4 linked regions of the Danio rerio genome follow. The protein of the gene in region 1 purifies or fractionates together with the protein of each later gene. This does not show direct contact. Links are inferred from orthologs where the notes say so. Each region holds a gene or a part of one and is shown on either strand. Other genes may lie near its edges. The genes, in order: nedd1, tubgcp4, si:rp71-19m20.1 and tubgcp3.

Evidence for each region.
Region 2: the proteins of nedd1 (region 1) and tubgcp4 purify together in Homo sapiens (affinity purification with mass spectrometry; 3 studies listed by BioGRID and IntAct, with this or other methods). This does not show direct contact. The link is inferred for Danio rerio from reciprocal best matches to the Homo sapiens genes NEDD1 and TUBGCP4.
Region 3: the proteins of nedd1 (region 1) and si:rp71-19m20.1 purify together in Homo sapiens (co-immunoprecipitation; 3 studies listed by BioGRID and IntAct, counting the BioPlex papers as one, with this or other methods). This does not show direct contact. The link is inferred for Danio rerio from reciprocal best matches to the Homo sapiens genes NEDD1 and C10orf88.
Region 4: the proteins of nedd1 (region 1) and tubgcp3 purify together in Homo sapiens (affinity purification with mass spectrometry; 3 studies listed by BioGRID and IntAct, with this or other methods). This does not show direct contact. The link is inferred for Danio rerio from reciprocal best matches to the Homo sapiens genes NEDD1 and TUBGCP3.

The regions. Positions count from the first base shown.
Region 1 is NC_133200.1:20,783,472-20,790,821, forward strand, and holds part of nedd1 (protein NEDD1), read left to right. Parts: intron 1-947; coding exon 948-1,149; intron 1,150-2,521; coding exon 2,522-2,678; intron 2,679-2,794; coding exon 2,795-2,926; intron 2,927-3,019; coding exon 3,020-3,058; intron 3,059-3,134; coding exon 3,135-3,239; intron 3,240-3,333; coding exon 3,334-3,378; intron 3,379-3,468; coding exon 3,469-3,638; intron 3,639-4,159; coding exon 4,160-4,355; intron 4,356-5,182; coding exon of another isoform or gene 5,183-5,183; coding exon 5,184-5,274; intron 5,275-7,338; coding exon 7,339-7,350. UniProt on the Homo sapiens protein: Required for mitosis progression. Promotes the nucleation of microtubules from the spindle.
Region 2 is NC_133182.1:54,551,867-54,559,860, reverse strand, and holds the start of tubgcp4 (gamma-tubulin complex component 4), read left to right. Parts: upstream 1-3,633; 5' UTR 3,634-3,791; coding exon 3,792-3,869; intron 3,870-7,399; exon of another isoform or gene 7,400-7,417; coding exon 7,418-7,546; intron 7,547-7,627; coding exon 7,628-7,750; intron 7,751-7,838; coding exon 7,839-7,892; intron 7,893-7,994. Other genes in the region: cdkn2aip (CDKN2A-interacting protein), read right to left, coding at 17-138, 2,759-3,003. UniProt on the Homo sapiens protein: Component of the gamma-tubulin ring complex (gTuRC) which mediates microtubule nucleation.
Region 3 is NC_133187.1:11,908,561-11,916,072, reverse strand, and holds part of si:rp71-19m20.1 (ATPase PAAT), read right to left. Parts: intron 4,960-7,512; coding exon 4,756-4,959; intron 2,506-4,755; coding exon 2,433-2,505; intron 2,361-2,432; coding exon 2,160-2,360; intron 1-2,159. UniProt on the Homo sapiens protein: ATPase that regulates mitochondrial ABC transporters ABCB7, ABCB8/MITOSUR and ABCB10. Regulates mitochondrial ferric concentration and heme biosynthesis and plays a role in the maintenance of mitochondrial homeostasis and cell survival.
Region 4 is NC_133176.1:49,708,893-49,717,069, forward strand, and holds the start of tubgcp3 (gamma-tubulin complex component 3), read left to right. Parts: upstream 1-2,917; coding exon 2,918-2,993; intron 2,994-5,231; coding exon 5,232-5,339; intron 5,340-6,231; coding exon 6,232-6,299; intron 6,300-6,415; coding exon 6,416-6,499; intron 6,500-6,910; coding exon 6,911-7,126; intron 7,127-8,125; coding exon of another isoform or gene 8,126-8,150; coding exon 8,151-8,177. UniProt on the Homo sapiens protein: Component of the gamma-tubulin ring complex (gTuRC) which mediates microtubule nucleation.

The sequences.
Region 1 (7,350 bases):
ATTTTGTTTATTTTATGCAGATACTCTCTCCTAAAAATCCATCCCAATCAATGTTAAATATGAATTCATTCTAAATATTTACTCGAGTCAGCTTGTAAAAGGATATTCATATTCCAATATAAATTTAGCAGAAAAACAAAATATCGCAATTGTTTTTTTTAAATATCATTCAACCCAACTGACAAGTCATATATATTTTAAGAAAAGGTCTGACAGGCGGACAGTTATGGTTCCATATTCGATGACAAATCAGATGGTTTTGTGACAGGAGAATGTTTCGAAAAATTTACATCGTCAATTTGGTTGTCACTCATTAGCCACTTTGTAGAATAGCACCTAAACAAAATCTCACTGGACCTAACTGTAAGTTTTGTGATATCAACTTCAAATTTGGAATATTACTTGGATAAACATTCTATAGCAATTTTACCCCATTTTATTCGCTTGAAACATTTATATGTTTTTATTAAGGATGTAATGATTCACCTAATTAGAAATTTGATATGATTCACAATACTATTCACAATATGATTCTTTTATTATATTTCTAACAAAATTAATTAAGACAATTTATAAATGAATAAATGTTATTTATTCACACATTTCTTTGTTAAAAAAACATTTTGTTAAATAACAAAACTAAATGGCAATTTTAAAAAATAAAAAGCTGCATAGTGCATTTTCACATCTATTTTTAAACTGAAACTATATAAATAAACACGATTCTTGGGTACATTTACAATGTTGGAAAATGTTCACTTAAAGATTACAACTGCATCAAAGTTGATCTCTATTCTCACAAGCTCATGACAGACACAGAATGCTGTAATATGGATGCCAGGCCAGTAGATGGTGATACTGTCACAACAGCATTGATTTAATATGCTGTTTGGAGTTTGACTTGAAGCTGTTTTCTGAATCAGTTGAATGTGTTAATTTCTCCACAGAGTGTTTCGTAATAAGCAGGTGGAATCTCCACTCACAGCTATTGATTTTACTCCTGATGGAGCTGGACTGGTCGTGGGCTCAACGCAGGGCCGAATCTACCTGTATGACCTGAGAAACCTCAGCGCACCGGTCAAAATTAACACAGCTCACAAGACCTCAGTGACGTGCATTCGCTTCCAGAACTCCACCTCCAAGTTAAAGGTACAGCTGCATCTACTATGTGTCCGTCAACAAATTTCTACTCAACCAGCCTTACATGGGTTTGCTTATGTTGAATTTACTCATGTTCTTATCACTGTAACAAAAATCTGTGGGCACAGGGACAAAAATGCATCGAAGATTGTGGACTGTAATGTGTATTGTATTAATTAATGTATTAAATATTCATTATTTTTCAATTAATTAATGTATTAAATTAAATACTGATAATATTTATGATAATATTTATATGCGTAATCTGCTTTTAATCATTCAGATGATTCTAAGAATGTTTTAATTTTGCAGCGTGTTTTATATGAAATTAGTTTATTTAATAGTTTTCATTCATGTAGGTTTTTACGTTAATATATTTTTAACCATATCTTTTTAAAACTACTTATTAAACAGTTTCAGTAGTGAATACTGGAATTATGATTAAAGTATACTTTTATTTATGTTTTGTATTTTTGTTGTAAATTGTTTTTTTATTTACTTTAAGTTATGGTTAATGTATGTAACATACCGTACATTTGATCTAAAGCAATTATTTATTTAATTCTTTTAAAATAATTAAGTAACTTTTTAATATTTTTTTAACATGAATTTACCTCGTTTAATTCATTTAACTATTAATATTTTGAACGTTTTTTTAAAAAGTACTCTTAGAGTTTGTATTTTGTGCAGTGTTTTTTATATGAAAATATTTTTTGTTTTATTTAATTGGTTTGAATTTAATAAATAAAATTCTAATCATTTTTTAAAATGTACTTTTTATTTATAATTTTGAAACCCCCATGGACATTGATTAATTCTTTATTCATTCTGAAATAGTACTTAGTTTTTGCAAGCTCTGCCCCCTCACATCAATGTCAAGTTTCATATTACAAAATTTTTAATTTTGTTTTAATCAAATCTTTTTCTGATTTTGACAAGTCTTACAATATACAGTTGAAGTCAGAATTATGTTCTATTTTTTAATAAAATTTAATAAAAACTTAATAAATGTCCATGTATCATTTCTTAAATGTAATAAACATGTAGTTTAAAAATACTCTTGGAGTTTGCATTTTGTGCAGTTTTTAATAAAATTATTAAGTATATTTATAATTTTAATATTAAATATAAAATATAATTATAAATAAAATTATTTTTAAATATTTTAAATAATATTTTAATAATATTTTTAATACCCCTGATTAATAAAAAAAATATATATATGTTAATAATAGAAATTGTGATTTTTTTTTATTATTATTTTTTTAAATAAAATTTTATTTAAATAGCCTAAGTTTTATATAGTTTTCTTAGTTCTCATTAATACGAAGCATAGCCCCTTCATTCATCAGTTTATTTATAGTTCTGACTCTTGTTACAGTCCACCAAATCATCCAGCAAGTCTTCTCAATCAAATAAAAGGATCTCAGTCAAGCTGGGCAGCAGTCAGCAGACGGGACCCTCCACCCCAACATCTACTGTCCCACCCATTGTTTCCGGATCTGAGTTTCCTGGAGATGGTCAAGCCCAAGTCCCAGGTTAGATTTACTCTTTGTGACTAGAGACTGTTTTATTTCTTAGCTGGCATTTTAAAGCCCTGTTTTTAGCTGTTGTAATAGTTTAATAATAACAATAATAAGGTGTTGTGTTTCAGGTCCATCTGCTGAGGTGTTTTCTCGAGAGGCAGAGGGTCAGCTCAGTCAAGATCAGATGCCCAATGTTGAGAAATTCAGCAGCATCGGACGAAATAGTTTAAACCTGGACATTTTCTCCCCTCTAAATGATGGTACAATGCACTGTGCTCTATATCTCTCTGCTTATTCTTAATTACTAATAATAAGTATAGAATAATAAGTTAAATCATCTGCTTTTCCATCAGGTTTTAAATCACATGGCTTTGCTGATACTTCAAGAAATGGTGAGGATTATTTAATGATGTTCAGTTAAATATGGCAGATTTGAAGAGATTATGAGTATGTTGATGTTGTTTCTAGGCGGCAGTATAGATGTTTTCTCAAGGGAAGCAGAAGGACAGCAGACCGCTGACCGCTTCAGAGTCGGCAGAAACAGCCTGGACATCTTTTCACCTGTACGAGACGGTGAGGATACTTTTGCACCACCTCGGAGTTGTCGAGATTTTTTTTTTTACATTTATTTTACTAATTAATGACCTATTAAACCTCATCTCTCTAGATTACAAAGGGCACAGACTGAGTGATGTATCAAGTGGAAAGAAAGGCAAGCTGCTACAAACTTCATTTTATTTTCATCAACCGTAATGAGCTTAAAATAATAAAGTTCTACTTTGACCTCTTTCTGCATTACTAGACTTTGAATATCTACCTCATTTCCCTGGAGGCTCATCCCAGAGGAAGACTCCGTTGGGCACTCCTGGCAGCCGCTGCTACAGTCCGTCTGTGGTGCAGACTCCACCAATCAAAGAAGAGGAGTCCACCACTACCCCTCCACAGCAGACTGATGTCCAGAACGGCACCAAGGTCCATTGTTTAACATTAGGGATGCACTGTAATAAAAAAACTAAACATTTTGTCTTCACTTAGCTGAAAATATTATATCATATTGTTATTATTTTTTTAAATAATATAAAGTAAATTTGCGAGCCTTTTCAAATTTAGTTAAAAGTCGTTAAATTCATTAAATAACATATTTACTAATAGTGTAATAGAATAGTATTAATTGGTTAGCACTGTTGCCTCACAACAAGAAGGTTGCTGGTTCGAGTCCCGGCTGGGTCAATTGGCATTTCTCTGTGGAGTTTGCATGTTCTCGCTGTGTTCGCGTAGGTTTCCTTTGATTTCCCCCAGTCTAAAGACATGCGCTGTGATTTAAACTGGCTGTAGCATATGAGTGTGTGTGTGAATTGGAGAGCATATGGGTGTTTTCCAGTACTGGGTTGTCGCAGGAAGGATATCCGCTGTGTATAACATATGCTGGAATAATTGTTGGTTCAGTTCGCTGTGGAAACATAAATTGAGTTGTTTCTCTGTGTTGTTGACAGGTGGAGAAGAGTAACGGTGTACGGCAGGAGTATGATGCCATCACCACACCGCCTGCAGCTCAGAGCACGCGAATTCAGTCTGTTCAGCCTCAGTTCAACACACCAGAGCCCAGTCAGAGGAGAGATCTTTCCACACAGCTCACATATGATTCCCCCATCAGCAGAGCTCCTGCTCCTCCTGCTGCTGCTGCTGCTGGTATGCTTACTAAAGTTCACACACAAATGAAAACGTCACCATCATTGAATGACCATTATCTTTGAATATGACTTTCTTTTGTCAGATGAACACAGTTGGAGTAGGTTGACATTTTGTCCTGGCTCTTCCATGCGGTATAATGATGGACAGTGGCTCATTTTTAAAGCTTTCAAAAGTGCATAAATCTGTCAAAAAGCTAATCCAAATGGCACCAGCGGGATAGCACATGCTTTATTGACTTTATTCTGCATGTACGAGTGGGTGCCGCCATTTAAATGTTTTTGACGGGACACTTCCGGTCCAGTTCACTTCAATTGATTTTTAGAGATTAAAACTGCTCTACTTTTTATGTATATAATGTCCATATATCTACATTTCAAAGGGAAATCAAGATTGTTTAACTTTTATAGAAAGACTTATTTTTGACTCATTTTTTTTCTGACGGTTTAAACTAAACAATGGATTTTGCTTTAAGTGGATAGTTCACCAAAATAAAGAAAATGTCCTTTTCATTTACTCGCACTTAATCGGTCCAAACTTTTTGTTGAACACAAACAAGATATTCTGAAGAAAATATTGGGGAAAAGAGCTGCCATTGACATCCATAGGAACAAAGTAATACTATGGAAGTCGATGTCTGTTGTTTCCGAACATTTTTCATCTCTGCCTTCGTGTTCAAAATAAAGAAACACAAACAAGTTTGGAACAAGTGAAAGGAGAGTAAATGATGACTAGGACTTTCAGCTTTGCGTAAACTGTCCCTTTAAGTATGTCATGGCCTTCAGCTTGAAGAGGTTTAAATATGATGAAATGTGTGTTTCTCCTCAGCTCCAGCCGCAGCAGTGGATTCTGCTCCACTCACTTCTGTACAGATGAACTTTGTCCGTAACATGATTCATGAGGCACTGGAGGACTTCAGGTGAGCCACTGCATATTTAACACAATGTTGGAAAGCGGCTGCCATTGATTTCCAGTATTTTTTGTTCCTGCTATTGATGTCAGTGGCTGCTTTTTTCAGAATATGTTGTTTTGTGAACCGAAGAAAGGAATTTATAAACGTTTAGAACCACTTGAGTGTGAATGAACCGAGGAAAGTTACATCTCTTTAACTAAAGCTAAAACCATGAAGCTGATTTTTGGCTTTCTTTAAATGAAATGTACCTAAAAATATGTCAACACAAATGACTTCAAATAAAACATTCTTTATTAATATCTTGATGTTTCTGTCGCACAATCCTTCAGAAATCATTCTAATATGCAGATTTGCTGAAGAAACGTTTCTTATAAAATCCTTTTGAAAAAAACTCGGGGTTCTTTGTTAAACTTTCCCTTTTGATGAAATGTAATGCATCTTTGGTGAATAAAGTACTTTTGACCAGTAGTGTAAACAACATTATAGTTCATGTTTTTAATTAAATCTGAAACCATAAAAACTGGCAAAAATGTAGAAGTTAATAGTCTAGTTGACTCTGAAATGCACATTTTCATTTAGTTTTTAAATTCATTTACTGCAAAATTTAAAAATAAAACTTTCTAAAAACTATTTGCACATTTCAAATAAATCCAGGACAAAAAAAACTATATGTGGTAAATGCTCACAGGCCACTTTATTAGGTACACCGTACTAGTACCGGGTTGACCCCCTTTTGCCTTCAGAACTGCCTTGATCCTTCATGGCAGAGATTTAACAAGGTACTGGGAATATTCCTCAGAGATTTTAAGTCCATATTGACATGAAAGCATCACAGCAGTTACTGCAGATTTGTCGGCTGCAATCCATGATGCAAATTTCACATTCCACCACATCCCAAAGGTGCTCAATTGGATTGAGCTCTGGTGACTGTGGAGGCCATTTAAGTTCAGTAAACTCATTGTCATGTTCAAGAAACCAGTCTGAGATGATTTGCGCTTTATGACATGGCACATTATTTTGCTGGAAGCAGGCAACAGAAGATGAGTACACTGTGATCATAAAGGGATGGACATGATCAACAACAATACAGTGGTAGGCTGAGGCAATGACACGATGCTCAATTGGTTCCAGTGGACCCAAAGTGTGCCAAGAAAATATCCCTTATACAAGGCAGGATAGATCCCTGCTTTCATGTTTGTGATGCCAAATTCTGACTCTACCATCTGAATGTTGCAGCAGAAATTGAGACTCATCAGACTTGGTAACGTTTTTCCAATCTTCTATTGTACAATTTTGCTGGGCCTGTGCGAATTGCAGCCTCAGTTTCCTGTTATTAGCTAAAAGGAGTTACACCCGGTGTGGTCTTCTGCTGCTGTAGCCCATCCGCCTCAAGGTTGGACGTGTTGTGGGTTCAGAGATGCTCTTCTGTATATTGTTGCCTTTCTATCAGCTTAAACCAGTCTGGCCATTCTCCTCTGACCTCTGGCATCAACGAGGCATTTGCACACACAGAATTGCAGCTCACTGGATAGTTTCTCCGTTTCAGAGTATTCTTTGTAAACTCTAGAGATGGTTGTGCATGAAAATCCCAGTAGATCAGCAGTTTCTGAAATACACAGACCAGCCTGTCTGGCAATAACAACCATGCCACATTCAAACTCTCTTAAATCACCTTTCTTCCCCATTCTGATGCTCGGTTTGAACTGCAGCAGATCGTCTTGATCATGTCTACATGCCTAAATGCATTGAGCTGCTGCCATGTGATTGGCTGATTAGAAATTTTGTGTTAACGAGCAGTTGGACAGGTGTACCTAATAAAGTGGCCGGTGAGTGTATATAACTGCAATCTATTACTAAAACTGTCAGTTTTGATAAATTGAAAATAAAAGTAACATGTTGGTCATCGAAAACTATTCAAACAATATATAAACATTAAAAATAAATCTAAGACTAACACAAACATTAAACCTATATACAGTATATATACATATTATACATTAGTATGTCCTGTTTATGTATTTACGGTTTCTGAGTGTGAAAAGACTGATACAGTTTGACTGTTATACACAGAGACACGTGTCA
Region 2 (7,994 bases), on another chromosome or scaffold:
GTAACTAAAGATTTACCTGAAACTGCAGGTCTTTTTAGTTTTCCCATTATTTCATCTCTAGTCTTTCGCTCAGGAGCCTCGATCACGGTGATTCCTTCAGCCATCTCATTTATCTTGTCCATCACACGCTGCGGATATCTGAAGGGTCAAAACACATCAATCAAATTTCTAGAAACTTTTATTAAAAAATATGGAGACTATCAAGACTTTCAATGGCCAGATGTTTTCTAAATATTCCTTGTAAAATAATAATAAAACATTACGGTGAACTATATTTTACAGGAATTTCATTCATTTATAGTCAGTATGAAATCAGTTCTTTCTTGTTCGCATTTCCTAACTTATGACCCTCCCATAATAGAAAATAAATGTTTTATTTATATTATTGTATGCAAATATACAATGTACACCACTGTTTAGGCTTGCAGTTTTTCTTAATATTTTTGAAGGAAAACTCAGCAAGTTGCTCAACAAGGCTACATCAATTTGATCAAAAACACATCAAAAATATAAACTCCAGTGTTGCAAAACGTAATTTACATGCTGATAGGGTAAAAGCTCTTTTTCAGAAGATTTCAATTTACATTTCTTAGTTTTGTGCTGTTGTGCTGTCTAAAGTTATTGTGCAAGAAATGTATAATAATATAATGTAATATATCATATATGAAAAATATTCGAAGACTATAACGCCAAACAACATTTGGTTGAGTCTGAATTCTTTTGTAACGACCAAAACATCTTTACTAATAACCCAGCAAACAAATTTTGTTTAATAAATGTCTAATAGACATAAAATTTAAACAGCTTGGCTAAAAAAAGGCTAAATCTGGGTCAGCAAAAATCTAATAATCATCTAAGAATAGCCCAAAATAGCCATTATACAGACTTTTTTAAATCTGTAGTTATTAGTTCCTGTTTACTATTTGACGACTATACAGTCTGAATGGCGGCGCGGGAATGCAGGTATTGCGCAATTTTTCATTTCTGCAAATGTCGCGAGTGCTTTATTATAAAACGAGCGCAGTCATGTACGTTAATCGCTAAATGCGAATATGCTAGCTCTTGAATAAGCTTTTTCAAATGAACTGCAAGTCCTCTCATGATCTTGTCACCGCGTGTGTGCACTCAAACTATACAATCGCGATCTCTTAGAAGTAGAAATTATTTATCTTTGCTCTTTGACTAAACTTTAAAAAAACGTAAAAAACTATCAAGTATTTAGAATTAGATTGATGCATGACCGGTGACAATGCTAACGGATTTATTTGGCTGTATTGTAAAGTGAAACTTAGCCTACCAGTACTTTTAGCAAAGGTGGAAATTTTATTTCATACAAAAGAGTTGCTAAAAATGTTTGATTGAGGTATTATTGTGCAGGTACAGGTAAAAGCAATCTGTTACATTTATCAAAATAAACAACCTTAAAAAACTTTAAGAAATGTAGTGTTGTATTTCAAATACCTCAGGTGAAACGAAGTCATATATTTTATTAATTTACTACTGACAGTGTTCTTGTCTTTTTTCTAAAATTATTTAGTTTAAGATTAAGCCTAAAATAAAATTTTGTATAGACAACAATGAGCAAATAAGAAAAACTGTGTAAAATATGTAAATAAACCCCACATTTAAATATTTTCATCATATACTTTGATTAAACATTTCAAATCTTGAAAGTATTGTTTAAAAATGGACAAAAAGTGTCTCTATGGCCTTAAGAGTATGTGGTAGTTTTGCCAGTCCTATTAAAAATGATTCATTGTCATGAAAGGAAAAATCGACCATACTTTGTTAGTGCAAATTACTATGTGTAGCCTTGTGATTTAAGCAATTAAACCATTTAAATAATTTTATACTTAAAAGGGCCATGATGGAAAATCTTTTTTTTTTCAAAAGTAATAAACTAGTACTCAGAGTAGTTTTTTTTAAAAGAGTAATTTGTAAAACATTAGTATTATTTACTAAAACGTGTATTATTTTTGCAGTGTAATTGTATTATAACATACAAGTATTATATATACAAGTATTCTGTTCTCTTTCCATCTGTGAAAGAACATCAACAAATAAAATAAAATATGCACAAGCACATTTAGTGCAGGTTTATTAGATTATTAATATATAATAAAAAGTGCTTAAAAATCCTTGATTTTCATTAGGCTGTGTCTGTGAACCCTGTATGTAATCAGTGTCACTTTTTAATCGTGAGGTGATGGTAAATTAAGTTATGGTCAATTGTCAGCTCTCTTGGTTGTGAGGTCGTGTGATGCATGTTGCTGAACTAAATTTTACTTAGCTACATTTTGAGATGTAACTGCAGTATGTCAATTTAGTTTATTTGTGTGTGCTGCGCTCATAGACTTTAGGAAACGGCGCTCATTTGTTTGATTTCTCCTCGAGAAGCTGCACAAGCCTAAAAAAAAGGGGGGGGGGCAGCTTGCAAAAGGTTGAGTTTTAAGCTATTCTTAGATGTTGATTACTTTTTCCACTGACAGCCCAAATTTAGCCTTGTTTTAGCCAAGATCACTATATTTAATCATCTATTAGACATCTATAGGTCATCTTTTAGAAACAAAAACGCTTGCTGGGTATTTTGATCCATTCAGTTTAGCCTTGTTGAACCCAAACTTTATAGAACAGTATAGTGTAATCCAGTTCTAATTATTTAACAAACTTGACAACAAAAAAAACTTGGATTTAGTGAGAATTTTAAATCAACAAGAACTACAACAACTGAAAAAATCCATAATAAACTGGCAATTACCGACAGCCTAAAAATACATGGTTGGCCCAAACCATGGATAGAGACAGCAGTCTGTCCAGACTAGAACTTGGACTCCCAGGTTGGATGGTAGGAAAAGCCTCCATATTCCGCAGCACAAACTCTCTCCTGGCATACCACTGTTTATTTGTCTCACAGTGTCCTCTTAAAGATTCCACCCAGCTCACCAAATGTGGATTCTGACTGAGGAACTCAGAGACAATGTCCTCTCCTCTTCTTGCCGCCATCACTGAAAACAAGGAAAACTATCAAAAGTTACTTGGAGAAGTTCATAATGTCCTACCAAGCAGCTTCAAGCATGAGGATTGTAAATCTGTGCTTTTGCCAGCAACAGGCAAACAAACAGTTCAATTGTGGTTGGTAAGACTGCAGACTAGACACATAACACATATACAACAGAATGTTTATAAATATATAATAAAATAAAATAATATATATATATATATATGTGTGTGTGTGTGTGTGTGTGTGTGTGTGTGTACACACACACACACACACACAAATATATGAATGTATATCAGCGTACTCAGTGTTTAGTTTAATATAGTTTTAAGCTTGTTTACATTTTATAGTTCATTAAATATTAATATTAATACCCAACGCATTGTATAAGTGCCTTAAAATTACGATTTTGCGCACCTGTATTGACTGACATGTATTTATCTCAACTTTATTGTGATGATAGTCGAAGGGCAATCAATCAACAAATGTAATATAACTGTAACCACAAAACACTCCGCAACCGATTCTTAAGAGGAAATAAGCGCTGTTTACCTCTAAAATACTCTCCAAAGACAAGTCCTCATTAGCGATATGTAGTAGTAAATATACTGCATTTATCGAGAGTGTAGAAGAGCAGACTGAGCGCTTCCCCTGTCGCGCTTGGGATATGCGTCATCAATATGCGACGGAGCTTTTGGCGGTGCGAAAATAATAACGATGACAACTTACTGCCTGTATTTTTGTTATCGTATGCGTTGTTTTTATACGCTATCAATGTAATAACACTAGAAAAATGATTCACGAGTTGCTGTTGGCTTTGAGTGGATATCCTGGCACCATATTTACCTGGAACAAACGCAATGGATTGCAGGTATTTTGTGCAGTTCTGTCAGTGATTCATCTAAAATTGTAACTTATATGTATGAGCGTTTATGTGTATAACATACTGAATCATTTAGATAACGACTGTATGGAAAAGAACGACTATTTTTAAACCCGACTTAACGTTACAAGTGTTTTTTTTATATAATGTGAATGTACAAAACACCCCACTGTATCTCACGAAAATGGTCCGTAGTGGTATAAGTGTAATTGTAACCATAACGTTAGTTGTTTTATCATTATGTTTTATCGTTATAGTCACTATAATCAATTTGGGGTTGCTACATGGTCTTTTTGCTTCATGTGAAGTAACGTTAGGGTTACCCTGATAGGTACGTTTTTTGCAGAATACTATGGTATTAAAAATATTCATAAGGTGTATTACGATGGTGTATTATGCATACCCGGCATATGACAGCATCAAGTTTTCATATTGCAATAACTGTAGAATCTTTAATCATAATATTGACACAAGTTGTAAGAATGTCATTTTTTATCAGATATAATAACAAACGTGTATTAATATAAATATTTTGAGTAAACAAATGTGTCAAACTAATTAAATTGCAGAAATTTTATTACATTTAATAAGGTTCAATAGGTAAAAATTTTCAATAAGGTATTGTCAGTAAGTATTAGTTAATGCGTTACATGATGGTGTAAAAAAAACTTTTGTTTCAGAACAAAAAAAAGGGTTAAAAAAATCTGTTTTGTATTTATATTAGGCCTGTCACAATAATCAATATATCGAGTTATTGCACAACACATGGACATGACCTCAATCGTTTTTAGTGATGCAATATATAGTCCATAATTCAAAAACAATTCTAGCAACATTTTAGCTGATTTAGCTGAAGGTGTCAGTGTGATTAAAAAACACTAGTATTTTCATGTGGGTGTCTGACAACTGAAAATAGATCTGGGGCCTGTTTCAGAAAGGAGGTTAACTGAAAACTCAGAGTATTTTAACCCTGAAATGAGAGAAACTCTGGGTTTTCGGTTTCAAAATGGCAGGTTTGTTAAACTCGAGAAATCAGGGTAAGTCAAGCCTGTTTCTGAAAGAGAGTTAACTTTAACTCAGAGTCAGTTACTGTGGTAACTTACTCTGTGAATCTAACCTGGTCAGAAGCAGGTTTTATTCTCTAAACTCAGAGTTTCTGTCTGTCTCCTCCCCTTTTTTTAAAGATGAAGCGGTATTTCTCGCCTTAGCCTTACGTTTCCACCCACCTTTTTTAATGCTCATTTTGGATACGTGCATAAAAACGATTGATAGAAACGTCATGATGCACATAACTTTTTAAAATATGCATAAAAAACGCACATAACTGAGTAGGGTAAACTTTTATTCGATAGAAAATGTGCGCATAAACTACGATGGAAACACTTTTACTGAACAAATTACAGTATGTACATTAAAAAAAGATCATGATCATATGATAATGAAAATGTGTGTAAATGAACAAACCAGCAGGCTGGGCACACTGTAACACGTCTTAAATATTGTTTTAGTCATTCTAAAATGCCTTAACTGTTTCAGTATTAGTGTATATTATTAATTACCTCCGAACGTCTGGTGCGTGTCAAGAGACTCCGCGTCTCATGGCTTCAGACGCCCCCACGTGTTCATTGTGTTTCAGCATTGTCTTCTGACATCGAGGCACAAGTACATTAATTAGGCTAAATAAAGAATTAATTGACGCAGCTTCTTCTACCACAGTAAATTCTGTTTTTACTGTTGATATTTGGTGCCAGTTAAATCAGGAAGTGACAATTTTTTTCTCTTTGACTCGTTGGATGGAATTTTATTCGCATCTTTTATGCAATATTCCAGTCTTGCACATAAATTTATGTAATATATTTGGATGGAAACATAGCTATTGCCTTTATTTTAGTCACACACAGAAGAACTGTACGAGAATGGCTTATGCTTTTTTAATAAATAATTAAATTGAATTCACCTTCGATATGCATGTAACTAGATTAATGGGATTATTATTCTTTCTAAAAATTATTTTTAGTACTGCTTACCTTCTAAATGTTATATTAACCTCTATCACTTGATCAATAAAAAAGGCAGACACACAAGTGCACTGTTAAATCATTTAAAACTAATAAATGTATAAAAGAAAGTTTAGAAAAAATATATAAACGTCACAAATTACATTACTTATTTTATTATACTTAAATATTTAAATACTTAAAAAGTTAAATTAGGCATTATCTTGAGCAGCTGTTTTCCCACGCTAACTGGTTGGTGGCTGCTTCTTTTCAAATATATACACTCATATTTGCTATAACTTTGCATGAGAACATCAAGTTCAGCTGGAGAAAGAAATGGTGATCTCTTTTATAAGATATTGCCATAGTCACTCGTAATGTCTGCGCTCCACTGATAATGCCTTTTTATAGTCACGGTGCGCGCGCTTAACTCTGAGTTGGTCTACTCGAAGTTGATTGACCCAACTCAGATCAGCTGTTCTGAAACCGAAAACTCTGAGTTTTTAATCTCTCGGTAAATCAACTCAGAGTTCAAGTTTAAACTCTGAGTTGTTTGAACCTCTTTACTGAAACAGGCCCCTGGTAGCAGATATCATTACTTTTTACCTTCATTAGCACTTTTTTGTTAACATTTAATATTAGTTATTTCGGATATGCGTTTTCACAGGTTCTTGCATTGTTGATGATATTGTATTGTCATTCTAGCATTATATAATGAGTATCATAAAATGGTCTTAAATGACAATATTATCGTTTATTGAATATATTTTGGGCGATGCAGTGGCGCAGTAGGTAGTGCTGTCTCCTTACAGCAAGAAGATCGCTGGTTTGAGCCTTGGCTGGGTCAGTTGGCGTTTCTGTGTGGAGTTTGCATGTTCTCCCTGCGTTTGCGTAGGTTTTCAACCGGGTGCTCCGGTTTCCCCCACAGTCCAAAGACATGTGGTGCAGGTTAATTGGGTAGGCAAAGTTGTCAATAGTGTATGAGTGTGTATGATTGTTTCCCAAAGATCGGTTGCAGCTGGAAGGGTATCCGCTGCATAAAACATGTGCTGGATAAGTTGGCAGTTCATTCCGCTGTGGTGACCCCGGATTAATAAAGGCATTAAGCCTTGTCAGCTTAGTCCCTTTATTAATCTGGGGTCGCCACAGCGGAATGAACTGCCAACTTATCTAGCACGTTTTTACGCTGTGGATGCCCTTCCAGCCACAACCAATCTCTGGAAAACATCCACACACAGTCATTCACACACACACTCATACACTACAGACAATTTAGCCTACCCAATTCACCTGTACCACATGTCTTTGGACTGTGGGGAAAACCGGAGCACCCGGAAGAAACCCACGCGAACGCAGGGATAATATGCAAACTCCACACAGAAATGCCAACTGAGCCGAGGCTCGAACCAGCAACCTTCTTGCTGCGAGGCGACAGCACTACCTACTGCGCCACTGTGTCGCCAATTTTCACCCAATAGTCACTATTTAATAGTCATTTAAAATTTTATAACCATGATGAAGTGTTGTTGATGATGACAGGTGTCCCAGGACCTGCCGTTCCTTCACCCTAGCGAAACCAGTGTCCTTAATCGATTATGTAAAATGGGCACTGACTACGTGCGCTTCACAGAATTCATAGAGCAACACACGGGTCATGTTCATCAACAGGTAATCTGCATTTACTCTGCATACAGTGTGTTAATAACATAGTAAGCACATAATAGCAGAAGATTTCTTCTTGTCTGACAGGAGCACTATTCCAGTCAGCCGAGTCAGTCTGGGCTTCATGGCATTTACCTGCGGGCCTTCTGTACTGGCCTCCACTCTATGCTGCAGCCTTATCGGCAGGCTTTACTGGACCTTGAAAAAGAGGTTTCACATTTGGAGTTTACACATTAAGTATTTATGCTGGTATTTGCAGATTATGTTGGACATTAAATATGAATAATTTGCTTAACAGTTTCTTGGTGATCCACACCTCTCTATTTCTCATGTCAACTACATGCTGGAACAGGTAAAAAAACAACTCATGCACCCAATCATCTGATACATGCTTAATTGTCTGATTCATGCTTTCAAGCTAAAGTTCAAAAGTTCAAGTTCAAAAGTTTAAGTT
Region 3 (7,512 bases), on another chromosome or scaffold:
TTATGCTGTTTGTAATTGTTTTAATTGACCCAAATAAGAAATGCCAAACAGCTTTTATAGATTATTTGCTCATAATGGGGAGAAAGAAACTGTCTAAAAACTGTAGAAATGCAGCATGTAACAAACATTCATTTAATACATCCATGTGTACAAACTTTTTGGAACTTGATAATTCATTTGACAGCACAAATAAAAATTATATACAGGCCTAGCTAGCTATGTGCATAAATATGTTAATGTGTTAAATAAAAATCAGATGCAAACACCACCACACTTTTACAAACTTTAGAAGAATATAAATAACATATCCTGCCATGTAATTGCTGTAATGAAATCTTTGTCTTGTTTTACAATAATCCATGTCTTTACTGGCGTTTCGGCAGAATAACAACTGTAACGTGAACATCGAGATGCGCAGCAGCAGTGAATGTTTGTTGAAGGTAAGTTCATCGACAGAACAAAAAAGAAATGCAACCCGCCAACAAAACTAGATGTTTATTATTGTGGTGCATTTTCCCCCTTCCAAAAATAAATAAATAATAATAATAGTCTTTGCGCCCTTGCTTTTGTTTGCTTTCATCTGTATTTTGTGATGTCTGGAAGATATCTGCATGAGAAAAAAACTATAGTAATAAAGAATAAACATGTTTTGAACCACATAGTAGAGTGTATAATGTGTATAACTCTTCTTTAATTAATGCTATGAAATACTGTAGTATAGTTAACTGATAAACTGTAATAAATACTGTAACATTAGTGTAAACTGTGGTGCATTTTGATTATAGCATAGAAAACTATTGCATATTGAATAATAAGCTTTAATATAATTTAATATTTTTTTAATATAAGCCTATTGAATAATAGGGTGAATGCCGAAGCATGCTAATAGGACTTTTAATTTGCCAGTAACCTGGGTTAAGCGCTTCCGGTGAACTGTATGCCAATGCAAAAACCGGCGCGTTTAAGGGCTGTTTTCTTTAAAAATCAGCGATCTCCACTAGCCGAGTGATATCCGATATAAAGTGGGTCTCAGATTGTACAAGAAGCACTGCATTAAATTTCATTTCCCCTGCCATATCTTTATAATGTGAGCATTTATTTTACCCTAGTATATTCAATGGAGCTTCTGCGCTAGCCTGCCAATTCTGAGGGCGCCTGCGAGTAAACGGCTTTTTGTCTCGTTTTAAGCTTGAGCAACTAAATGACTGCCAAAGTTTATTTAACTGAATGTATTTTAATGACATTACAACATCCATGCTGTAAAAGGAACCATATAAAATGGAAAAAAGTTCACAATAACAGGTCACCGGAAGTTTATCAGTTTGGGAAAAACACTAGCTCGGCATACACCCCATTTGTTTATTACTACAGTTGAGTCATGTCACAGGAACATTATAATTACTACGAAGTGTAATTCAAGTAATAATCTATTGTATGCTTTCAAACAATAAAGTATTTACTGTAGTATTTGTTCATGTAACATAATAGCTTATACAGTATATACCGCCTCGATGACAGGCTAATATATTTCAGTTTAGTAGAAACTGGGCTCTCTTCATGATAGAAGGATCATGTCCAACATATGTGGTTATTTTCCATTAATATGGAAAATATAAACCATAAATATGGTTTAAATCGCAAAAATACAGACATTCCTCTATGTCTCCCATTCAATTTTTTACTTCCTGCCCCCCATCTGAATTTTGTATGTCATCAGAACCATGATTGAAAACAACCTATTGGTCATAGTGCTAAAGAGATTCTGTATATCTTTTTTGTTTGTATAAAAGCAGCTGTATGTAGTAAAAAGATGCCAAGCTACTTGTCAGATTTAAACCAAATTTGTCCAAATGATAAAAAGGGTCTAATTTAAAAAGTCTATTATAAACTCATCTATTTTAACAGGAGGGTAGCTTTAAATAGATATCAACCCATCTATAATCATCCTAAATTACTTCAATTTGTTACAACTAAAAGAATTTTATTTTTACTTTTTCAACTAAAATTATTACTGAAAACAGTAATAAAGTAATATAAAAAAATACTATTTATTATTTAATTTAATATATTTTCATTATTATTCCTCTGTATAATATCAATCCTATTAAATCTGCCCAGTGCAGTGGTGATTATGCTGTAATAAGAGACTGAGACCAGACCTTTTGCTGGCACTGCACCAGCTCCAATAGATTTTGTGCTCCCGGTGAAAGGGTGGTGCCCATCTCCTCCATCATGGCCTGCACCTGCTGAAGGTCAATGCCTGGCTCTACTCTCGGCCCACCTTGTCTGCCCTTCAGTGTCTCCAGTCCCACACAAACATGAGCGACAGACACAGAGGAGCGGCCACCGAGAGACAGCAGCTGTACAAACACATCATATATCAGTTTGAATGCCTGCAATGAAAGTGTGGATTTACTTCTCACATTTCTTACCTTCACCTCACAGGACACAGCAGGGCTTTCCAGAATCAGATTATTCCTGTAGAAATGCCTCTCTTCTTCAGAACTGCCACAAAATAGAGCAAACCATCAGGGTAATCACATTTAACTTAAAAGAAAACCCAAAAAACAAATTCATTTTGTGAGGTGGAATATAATTAATTACATTTTCTTGTTTGACAAAAACTAAAAATAACAAAAACTAGTCTGAATTAATAGCCCACTTTATTTTTTATTTTTTCATTTTCAAATATTTTCCAAATGATGTTTAACAGAGAAAGGAAATTTTCAAAGTAGGCCTGATAATATTTTTTCTTCTGGAGAAAGTCTTATTTGTTTTATTTCGGCTGGAATAAAAGCAGTTTTCAATTTTTTAAACACCATTTTAAGGTCAAAATTATTAGCCCTTTTAAGCTAGTTTTTTTTTCTATTGTCTACAGAACAAACCATCCTTATACAGTAACTTGCCTAATTACCCTAACTTGCCTGGTTAACCTAATTAACCAAGTTAAGCGTTTAAGTGTCACTTTAAGCTGAATACTAGTGCCTTGAAAAATATCTAGTCAAATATTATTTACTGTCATCATGGCAAATTTATAAAATAAATCAGTTATTAGAAATAAGTTAGTTTTAGTTAAAACTTTATTGTCCGTTCTGCTTGACACAGAAAGGAAATTTTTCTTCAACACTGGATTTAGGACAACAATTACAAACATACAACTACGATACAATCACACTTATCAAGACATCAACATAAGTTAAAAGTTTAAAAACCAAATTAGCCCCATGCACAATACTGCAAATCATTCTTGGTAACCACCTCATCCACTACAAACATTGATCCGGTTTAGAACAACAACTGCCATTGGGATAAATGACTTTTTATAGGCATTTCTTCGTGCTTTATTAATTCTAAACCTGCGTCCTGATGGTAGAAATTCAAATGCTAAGTAAAGGGGATGTGTATTATCTTAAAAATCACAACTGCTCTTTTTTCCATAAAAGAGTCAAATAAAATCTGCAATGAATTATTAAAACTATTGTTTAGAAATGTGTTGAAAAAATCTGCTCTCCGTTAAGCAAAAATTGGGGAAAATATAAACAGGGGGGGCTCATAATTCTGACTTCAACTGTAGATATTTGCATTATAAAAACGGCAAATTCAAAGTAATTACAGCTTCGGAGAAGAATTAAAAGACTACTTGAAAAATCATTGGATTTGTTAGATATGAGTTTAAGTAAAATTTTAATATGTTGCACTCAACAACAGTCTGATAAATTTAACTGATGAAAATGTTGAGCAGAAAAGGACAACTGGTAATAATTGATTTAGTGTAATAAAAAATTAGGGTTATTCCAGCAAAAATTGATTTCTTTACTTTTTCTTAACGTCTAAATGTTGAAGTTGTGCTTAAAAATAGACAAACACTAAATGACAACTTTTTTATTTTAAATTTGCAAGAAAAGTCTGAAGTTGCTTAATTACAAAAAAAAAATCTGAAATTATTAAAAGTAAAAATGTACATGCTGTCTTTTTTCATTAGCTGTGTATGTGTGTATTTGTTTGCTATTTAACTAAATTAGCTTACTATTTAAAAAATGTATTATTTCAAATTGCATGCAAATAAGAGCGAAAAGTTCATGAAATCTGAGATCTGTATATTATGTTACATCAGAAGTGTATTTCTATGTGTATTACACTTTGAGAAAAAAAAATTGGTAGTTGTTAAACATAGCCTATATCAATAAGAGCATGATATAATAATAATAATAATAATAATAATAATAATAATAATAATAATAATAATAATAATTTAACAACTTAACTGTCGCCCCCACTTTTTGCACATATGAAAATGACGTTCAACTTAAATGTCTTCAATGCCTTGGTCAATAGATTTAAGCTTGGTCTTATTTTAAAGAAGACAGAAGGCAGAAGTTGAAATGTCGATTAAAATAAAAGTTATGTGCCTTCATTGTTTATGAATACATTACATACAATATGTATTTTATGTTTTGAAAAATGGCAGAAAATCTAATTATCTGAACCACTCATATTTCAAATTAGAAGCTTTTAGTAAGATTTTATTTGGCTTGGCTGCAAGATCAATTATCAGGACCAGATGACATCCAGTTTCCATTGGTGACCATATTGACCTTATATATATTTTTTAATCTATTACTCTTCCTACATAACAAAAAAGTGATGAAATATGTATTTAAAAGTCTTAGACCTTCCACTGATATATAGTTTGTCATGACATGATTAGGATTTAATTGAGTAAGTTTAGTAAAGTAAACTTAAGCATTCGCATACATATACCCATTAGTGTGTGATATTTGAACTTCCTCTCCACGGCAGGTGCCGCAGTATTCTCCAGACAGCGAGTACACTTCAATAGTGCGGGCTTCACTGACCACCTGAAGACTGCTGATCGCAGACGCAGAGCCGGGTGAACACTGAAGTGTGACGACACACGGTGAGTCCTCTTCTGCTCTCTCCAGACAGACAGCTTCATTCCTAGGAGAAATGCATGTGCAAATACAGTCACAAAAACACTTCATGGGAAGAGTCATGGCCTAATGTTTAAAGAGTTGGACTTGTGAAGGTCACAGGCTCGAGTCCTGGCACCGGCAGAGATGGTAGGTGGTAAGAGTGAATAACCAGTGCTCTCACCACTTATAATACCATGGCTAAGAGGAGTCCCTTGAGCAAGGCACAGAACCCCCAACTGCTCTAGGTGTGTGTTCATGGTGTGTCTGTTCACTGCACTTGGATGAGTTAAAGGCTGAGCACAAATTCCAAGTATAATGAGTCACCATACTTGGCCACATGTCACAACTTTCCTTCATATTCCAATTATTTATTTACCTACTTATTTACTTGTTTGCTTCTCCTGGTGTTAAATGTTGTTTTATATTTTTTCTAAAGGTGTCTAAAGGGATAGTTCAAAAACAGGTGAAAATTCTGCCATTATTTCCTCACCATCCACATCCAAACCTGCTCAAGTTTCTTTTTTTCTGTTAAACAGAGATGCAGATATTTTAAAGAATGTGAGCTACTTCAGATGTTAAAAGAATAGTTCACACAAAAATGAAAATTCACTTACCCTCAAGAGGTTTCAATCCTTTATGATGTTCTTTATTCTGCTGAACACAAAAGAAGATATTTTTAAGATTTTTGACTATGAAAGTCAACGCTTACAGGTTTTTAGCTTTCTTCAAAATATATTCTTTTGTGTTCAACAGAGGAAAAAAACTTGTGAATGTTTGGAACTGCCTTGAGGGTGAGTCAATAGTGAGTACATTTGATTTTTGGGTGAACTATCACTTTAATACAGGCGTGTCCAAACTACGGCCCGCGGGCCATCTGTGGCCCGCAATCAGTTTTGTGGCGGCCCGCGAGGCTTTTTATAAATATCAATAGAATCTGGCCCGCTATACAAAAATGAACGCAATTCAATAAATAACCACCGGGTGTCGCTATTACATGCATTCAATTAAGCAGCAGTTCTTGTTATGATCTATCTATCTATCTATCTATCTATCTATCTATCTATCTATCTATCTATCTATCTATCTATCTATCTATCTATCTATCTATTTATCTATCTATCTATCTATCTATCTATCTATCTATCTATCTATCTATCCACACACAGTTGAAGTCTGAATTATTAGCCCCTCTTTGATTTATTTCTTCTTTTTTAAATATTTCCCAAATGATGTTTAACAGAGCAAGGACATTTTTACCATATGTCTGATAATATTTTTTCTTTTGGAGAAAGACTTTTGTTTTATTTCGGCTTGAATAAAAAGCTGTTTAAATTTTTTTATGAACCATTTTAAGGTCAAAATTATTAGCCCTTTAAGTCTTCAGAACAAACCATTGTTATAAAATAACTTGCCTAATTACCTTAACTTAACTAGTTAACTTGATTAACCTAGTTAAGCCTTTAAATGTCACTTTAAGCTGTATTGAAGTGTCTTAAAAATATCTAGTCAAATATTATTTACTGTCATCATGGCAAAGATAAAATAAATCAGTTATTAGAAATGAGTTACTAAAACTAATATGTTTAGAAATGTGTGGAAAAAAATCTTCTCTTCGTTAAACAGAAATTGGGGAAAAAATAAACGGGGGCTAATAATTTAGGGGGGCTAACAATTCTGACTTCAACTGTATGTATATATATGTATGTGTATATATATATATATATATATATATATATATATATATATATATATATATATATATATATATATATATATATATATATATATATATATATACACACGTGTCTGTGTGATGTATGTAAAATTTGGCCCGCGACAACGTTTGTCTTTTTGCATCTGGCCCTCGGCCCAAAAAGTTTGGACACCCCTGCTTTAATAGCTTCAAAAGGATTTCAAACCTTCTTCAAGATCAGATATCTACTATTCTGTCCATATTGTTCTGTGTTCAACCAAATATACAAATGCATAAAGGTTTGAAACCACTTGAGGCTTAGACAACTTTCATTTTATGAACTAATCCTTTAATTTTAAGAATGTTTTAGGTAGGGGTGTGAACCTACACTGGTCTCATGATTTGTTCAGTTACAATTATCATGCTGTTGATTCCGTTCAATTTGATATCTCGGTACATCACGGTGCATTGACGATGCTTTCCATACAGAATTAGATTTTTTCTTCAAAACACAAGATTTTGTTTTTATTAAAATCTATAAATATATTTATATTTTTATATTATTTGTAATACAATTTTGTCCTTAAATAAACGCAGTAAGATATATAAACTGTACTTTTAATTTTACTTGCTCAAAGAAAAATCTTTTTGAATGTTTAGACAATATTCCAGTACATGCACAGAAAACAACATGAGCATTTATAGGAAATAGACTAATGTAAATATTATCCATCTTGCCTTCTGAGCGCTGTCAAGTTCTTACACTCCTATGATTGGTCACTGTCTTCACCCGCTCAATAGAGAAGGCTGCGATTAGCTTTGAAAATGAAAGCGTTGTTCACCGATGAGTGACGTGGGAAGAACAACCGCAGTTACAGTCTATTT
Region 4 (8,177 bases), on another chromosome or scaffold:
CTGTGTATATCTAGCACTGAGGGTGCCCTCTCTGGGCTGGGTTGCGGCAGGAAGGGTATCTGCTGGTAAAACATGTGCCAGATTAATTGGCGGTTCATCCTGCTGATAAAGCAGGGAATAAACTGAAGGAAAGTGAGTGATTTTCATTAATCTATCTGTCTGTCTCACCACAGGTTTTAGTATGTTAATTTTATATTATTGTTGTTGTTGTTGTTGTTCTGTGGACATGTTTATATATCTGTGTGCCATTCATACAAACTTCATTTCAATTCATACAAAGCTGGTCATTTCAGCTTCTTCAGTTTTTAGAAAGATCTTTATTATAAGTATGCATAGGACAATTTTCAAGGTTTATCACAGTTTGGAAAAGTTTTTTTTTTTTAAACCGGCAAAATTTTCTGCTAAACCATTCCTTAAGGTTTGTATACGATTTTTTATTTACAATTTTTGTTTTGTTTTTAGGACAGCAGTATCTCCAGCAGAAAAGATCTCCAAAAATGCAGTTTTAAATTGTAATGACATCTGTTTTTGAAACTAATGAAGACAGCAGAAGTCAATAATCCGTTTGAATTATTCAGCCTGACATGTTACTGCTATAAAATATTTAAAATGTTTCTCAAAATAAAATATATTGTGTGTTCAAAGGGAAGACATTTAAAAATAATATATTTTAATGCAGTAATCACAATACTGTGCAGTCATGATATTTTTATACAAGGTTATCACACCAGACCCTGCCTAGTTATAAGTAAGCACATAACTTACTCAGAATCTAATCTCTTAAAATGCATAAATGTGTTAAGGAACATCAGTGCCATTAATATAAAACACATACAACAGTGAACTATGTTTTTGTAAACTATGGCAACAGTTGGAAAAACTGAAATACATGCTTCTCTTCTTACTCTAAGTCATATTACCATTTCAAATGTCAAATTTACACATCACTGTATATGTGGAATATTGATTAAAAGAAACTGGATATGATTCAGAGGTACACTTTTGCATGTCTGACAAATAAAATAACATTGGCATAGGGATAATGAGAAGAAAATTAAATATGGGCACAAATGCAAAATGCTAAATTACTGTAGAAAAGCAAACACTAAAAACTAAAACGGCATCACAGTGGCGCAGTGGGTAGTGCAATCCTCTTACAGAAAAAGTCACTGGTTCAATCCTCGGCTGGGTCAGTTGGCATTTCTGTTTAGTTTGCATGTTCTCTCTGTGTTCGCGTGGGTTTCCTTCGGATGCTTCTGTTTTCCCCACAGTTGCGCTAACACATGTGCTAGGTGAATTGGGTAAGCTAAATTGTCCATAGTGTATGTGTGTGAATGAGAGTGTATGGGTGTTTCCCAGTGATGGGTTGCAGCTGGAAGGGCATACGCTGCATAATACATTTGCTGGATAAGTTGGCAGTTTATTACGCTGCTGCAACCCCGGATTAATAATGGATATAAAGAGGAATAAATAAATAAAAAGGGGATTATTAAAGGGGATTAAAAACTAAAACTAAAAAATTCATTTTTAGCAACATGGCATTAGCAACCGCAGACAAATGTGAAGTGAGTATTGTCAAGTACCAATACTAAATTGGTCCTCTGTGCACACACACGAGTGAGAAGTTAGAGCACACACACATACACACTGAGCATATACCCAAAGCAATGGGCAACTTTTGCTTCTAGCAGCCAGGGAGCAATTAGGTGTTATGGCATCTCAGCTGGGTGTCGAAGATGGAGAAATCTTTCCGGGACAAGGAATCAAACCTGCAACCTTTTAATTACAAGTCCAACTTTCTAACCATTAGGTCACAACTGCTGCTAATACGTAATTACACACTATAATTGTAACCTTACAAAAGCAAACACAACTTTTTCAAACGAAACTGCTTTTATTATCATTTTTGATCTGAGAAATGCACCAAAACAACTGAAAAATGTTTGTTTTATTATTATGCCATTTATAAATCTAATCTAATCTATATATATCTATATATATATATCTATATATATATATATATATATATATATATATATATATATATATATATATATATATATATATATATATATATATATATATATATATATGTTTGTGTGTGTGTGTGTGTGTGTGTGTGTGTGTGTGTTGGATATAGACCATTTCAATGTAGTCAAAATAGTTTATCAAACTATTTCAAAACTGTAACAATTCAATCATAACAAGGTTAAAACTGCTGTCATAACATTATTTATCAATAAGTGGCTTTTCTCGGTAATCAAAAGCCATAGAAATTTAATTTAAAATGTGAAACAGGAAGTACGTTGGCACAATTGTTTTTGTTTACATCCCTCAAAATGATCTATATGACATTTTATATAAGGGAAAACCAAATATGAACTTGAATGTCATACATGTAATTAGCATATTGTCATATATGAAATTTCTATATGGGATATTATTGGTGCTGTTTTTGGTTAAAGTGTTATAATAATAATATTTAAGAATGTTTGTTTGTCATTATTTGTTTGGTTGCAAAAATTTAGAAACAGCCCAGTGCACCTTTCAAAGCTGTTTATCTATACCGGTTTTATTAGTAAGAATAACGTTTCTGTTATTAAATAATTGAGATAAAAAACGCTCAAATATATCAGTATAACTAATGCAATTATTATTATTATATTTTATGCTTAGGCAATGTTAGTACGGAGGAACCTGTTTCTCAGCCTCATTTCACAGCCGACCGTTCCTCCGCTGCGCACCGCTGCTGTGTTTTCCGTTGACTGTCCGACTGTGGGCGCTTTTCGGCGGGTTCCGTTAAAATGGCGCTGTTGTTGCCAGGAGCTCAAGCCCATCGAATGGAAAGCGACAGCGGTTAAAAAAAAAACACCGTTAACCGTTTCTGCCCGCACCGGAGGCGACAGATAAGCGCACAATGGCGACGCTTGATCAGAAATCCCCTAACGTGCTTCTGCAGAGCCTGTGCTGTAAGATCACGGGCAAGAGCGAAGGTAAAGACTCAGATCTCATCCCTTTACATCACTGTCATACCGCCGCTTAAACATGATCGTCATGTGCAGGATGTGAGCGAGTATGTGGCTGTTTCGTTGAAAATGTGATACGATCAAATGCGTGATTGAGGGTCAGATCTGCACCGATGAGATGCTGTAATCTTGTGAACATTTGCAGATGCTGAAAAGCGCAGGGCCCCTGCCTCTTTGCGTTAATAGATAGGGGTTAAAAACAATCGCACATTCAGACATACTACTTAGTAATATAATTTCAGAAAATAATTATACACAAATTCATAATGGGCAAATCATATTAGCAGCCAACGACTAACAAAGTACAACAGTGTTCAATCAAGGTCAATCAAGTGTTCAATCAATCAATGAAATGGTGCTAATGTTGTTTTGAAGTCATATTTAAATGCGATTTTAGACCCAATATTCAAAGTAGCGTGGTAAACAACATGGAGACTGTTAAATGCACTCATGAGCGATTGCAAAACTAACTTTACCTCAATAGTAAAGAGACCCTGTGATGATTTGTGTCACCTTATGTCAGCTGTCATTTTCCTATAAGTTAGTGCATTGAGGTAAAGTTGGTTTTATATTCACACATTCGTTCAGTGACAACTTGTGACGCGCTTCCTATATTGTTTATCACGGTTCTTTGAATATTTGGTCCGAAAAAACTCCAAGTATGACTTGAAAACAACATTAACACTGTTTATTTGACTGTGAACAATGTTGTACTTTGATAGTCATTGGCTGCTAGTATAATTTTGCTATTTAGAATTTGCAAATAATACTTTTCTAAAATTATATTATTAAGGAAAATGTCTGAATGTGTGAATATATAAAACCAACTTTACCTCTATAGTTAGTGCGTATGAATGAATCCCAGACCTACAGGACTTGCATCTCAGAGAGTTTGCATAAGATACAAAACAGATCAGAAACCGAAGACAGCAGAGCAATTTCAGAGTTATGGATGTGACATTTACAGTAAAAACTCAAAACATAAATTCACATAGAAACTAAATGTTCATTTTATATTGAAACGTCTGTTTCTATTTTCCAGAACTACTAACCACAGAGTTAGGGGATCAGAAAAATATCAATATGTAAACATATTTCATATTCAAATGAGGAAAATAAACTTGCGTTACTTATGGATGTGACCAAAAAGTTAGCGAGTTTATAGTAAACAACATACTTTGTAGAAATTAAACTGCACAGAAGAAACAAAGTTATTTCATAAGGATAAGAGTTGGCTCTCTATACATCAATTATTTTTATTTTATTTTTATTTTTTAAATTTATGAGGAAAAAGCTTGGTTATGGAATCTGGATATGACGCCTCTCCATTATGGATGTGATAGATGTGAAAATACCACTTATATTACTTTGGTAAATCAATGTAACTTTGAAAACATTGACAGATCATTTTTAAAATATTTTACAGTACTGTAAAATACAAGCCTACACAAAAAAACTAGAAAGAGTTTTGCTAATTTGTTGAAATTTTTTATGGAATTGCTCATCAGCAGATTATCAGTGAACTGTAGAGATGGCAAATGAATGGTCCTTTCTTTCATTTTATAAAGATGAGATAAATGCATTTGAAGTCAGAATTATTAGCCACTCTGAGTTATTAGCCCCCCTGTTTATTTTTTCCCCAATTTCTGTTTAATGAAGAGAAGATTTTTTTCACACATTTCTAAACATAATAGTTTCAATAACTCATTTCTAATAACTGATTTATTTTATCTTTGTCATGATGACAGTAAATAATATTTGACTAGATATTTTTGACTAGATAAGTTTGACCTGAAATGACACAGACTTCTCCCTAAAAATAATAAGACGGTGTACAAGAGGCATCATTGTGGAAACAAATATTTATCAGATTTTCTGAATAATATCAGGGTTGCCTGTAAACGAGACATTATTTATTGAAATGTGCTATTTTTATACATTTTTTAGCATACAAATCTAAATTTTGGATGAAGCCAAGTTAAAAACATTTGATTACCTGTTTTTAACAAATTATTAGTCAATTGTTATTAGAAGGAGCGTTTTGAAAACATATTTTTATCAGTCAATAATTCAGAATATTTCATGACCAGCTAGACTTTTTTTTATTATTTATTTAGTTTAACATTAATGGCATTTGGCATAATAAAATCTGTAAAATCTGCTTCATGTATGTATGTATGTATGTTTGTTTGTTTTTGTTCTCAGCTGACGTAGCCCATCAGTTCCAGTACGCTGTGCGGGTCATTGGAAGTAATTACGCTCCCACAATTGAACGGGACGAGTTTTTGGTGTCTGAGAAAATTAAGAAAGAATGTGAGTGATGTTGAAACCCTATCCTTTTTTTTGTGCACATGTGCTTTTAGAAGGCCTGAAACAAATATTTTGTGTTTTTTTTTTTTGACCTGTTATATTAATCTACAAAAAAAAAAAATAAAAGTAAAATTATATGAGAATTAAGTTTTAAGAATTTTATTTCAGAAACATAATATTAAACTTTGTTTCCGCATGAAAAATAGAAATTAGGGTGAATTGTTAATCTGCTATAGTAGCTGGAATTTCAGCAGATGTAGTCATAGAAATTCATAATATCAGATTTAGGACTTTGGTAAGATGATGAAATCAACATAATTCTGAATGTTCAGTATAACAGAATAAAAAAAATACAACTGATCAGCAAATTTACTGTGAATAATATCGATAATTTGTGATTAACTGATGATTGGTTTTAACCATATTTTTGTCTTGAGTTATCTTTTCCAAGGTTGGATAATTGTTATGTATAATCAAATCCATTTTTAAGTTACTTTTAAATATTGAAAGAATGATCACTGTATGTACCAGATTATACATATTTTTGTGTCAAATTTACAGTTCTACTTTCTTTATAGTAAAATAACACAAAATAATGCTGTCAGCTAGAATTTCAGAATTAAGATTGACAAAAATCATTAATATTGCAGACAACCCGATTCAAAAACCACTGTAATGTATTTACTGTGTGTTTATTGTCTGTTACTTTTCTTTGTTCCTTTACTGACTATGCATAATTATTCCACCATGTTGTCATTAGTAATAATCCAGCCCTGGACCTATCGGCGTAGAGACAATTCTGTCAAAAATGCCCTTTAATAATAGCTGCATTAAAAAGAAAAACTTTATATTTTGGTGTCATCATTTATTGTTGATTATTGCTGAATTCTTGCAGTGTTGAAACAAAGGCGGGAAGCAGATGCAGCCCTTTTCTCTGAGTTGCACAGAAAGCTTCAGACCCAGGTCAGAATCGATCATTATTCTCATTATTTCCCAGCTAGCCGTGGTGCACGGATCAGATATAATGATCGTTAGATTGTTAGATGTTGTATGTTGATTCAGTTGTTTCTGTTCAACAGGGTGTATTGAAACACAGATGGTCCATCTTATACCTCCTGCTCAGCCTCTGTGAGGACCCAAGGAAACCATCCGGCCGGGTTCCTGTATGAAATCCTATTTTACAGACTCAGTGATATGAAATATAACTTTACATGATGTATAACAAAGGCTATAGAATACACAAGACGTGTCGCTCTTATAGTTTTGAATGGCGAAAAGTGTAAAGGTCAATATGACGAATGAAGCCCCGTCTTCTAGTACAGGAGACAATCAGCAATCGATATAGACTGACGATTCTTTGGGGGAAGGGGGGGGGGGGGGTGTATTCATTGATGATTCCTAATTTGAAATTAAATCTTAAGCTTGGCAAGCATTTTTAGAGAATTTGATGTTACCCCATTCAAACAGAATACCTCAGCATACAAGGCATTTCAAAGATGGTCTTCGAGTAAAATGACTTGCCTTAAAGGGATTTTGTGTATAAGCGCAGAAGTAATCTTGTTTTCTGTCTACAGGTGTGTAGTTATGGAGCTCTGCTTGCTCAGGCTTTGCCCCGTGATGTTCACTCCACACCGTTCTACTATGCCCGTCCTCAGAGTCTCCCACTCAGCTACCCAGAGCGCTCCGCCACAGCTCATAACTCCAGCATGGCTACCAGTGGAATCAGCAGTATGGGGGTGTTTTCTATTAATGGGCCTGGACCGACCCCACCATCTTTGCTTACTGGGTCAGTTGCAGACAATAAACCTTTTTCATATTTGCAGCTTTCTCAGCAGTGGAAGTCGTCATTCTTGGGGAAGCTTAAAAAATACACTTCGAAAAAAAAAAAAAAATGGAATGACATAATTTCGATATAATAATTTCGGCATAAAATATATACATATATGTATATATGTATGTATTTTTTTATACAATAAGTAAAATACAGTATAACACAGCAAGTATTTGCATATAGAAATCATTGTGTTGGTACGTAGAATTTTATATGAATGATCTTAAAGCATACTTCTCAAATATTACATATTATAAATGAATATAATTAAGGGAAATCTGAGAGCTCCCTCATCCTCCATAGACGGCAATAATTCCCAACTTATTTTTGTACATAAAATAATTCAGTGGTTCTATAGGTGGTTTAAAAAATGTTGTAAGAAAAGATCTAGCTGAATTTTCTCTCCTGTGAACAGTTGTTGTGTCATTCTTATTCAGCTTCTGTTGAATTGCTTCATATAATCCTTTATAAAGTCTATGACAAAACATAAGGGTTTCTCTCTCTCCTTCCCTCCCCTTTTCATAATTATCTTTTCAATTATACAGCTGTTGTATTTGTCGCACGTTTAATTGAACTGCCGCACACTCATCTATTATTAATGCATTTGTCTAGCACCTGCAGCACTTAAGATATTTTAAATATGGCCATGTCCTCCAAGCTCCTGAATTAATTGATTACCGGATCCATTTCACAGTAAATCTGTCAGAGCAAACAACATCATTAAAGTGTCCAGAGCTCAATGTCATTATTTGTTTAAAGCGTGCCATTATGTGGTAATTAGTGAATTCCCACTGGTTTTGCTAATGGGCAACGAGAATGTGTCTCGAAAATTTATGTGGTGAAAAAGACAAATATTTCTTTCACCGCAGCCTTAGAGTTGGACTTTTTGTTCTAGAATTTAACATACAGCATCATGAGGTAAATTTTTATAAATCTATACCATTTTTTTCTGTTTTAGAGCTGGAACTCAGGCTGTTGGAGAGTCTATGAGAGGGTCTCGTTTAGCCTGG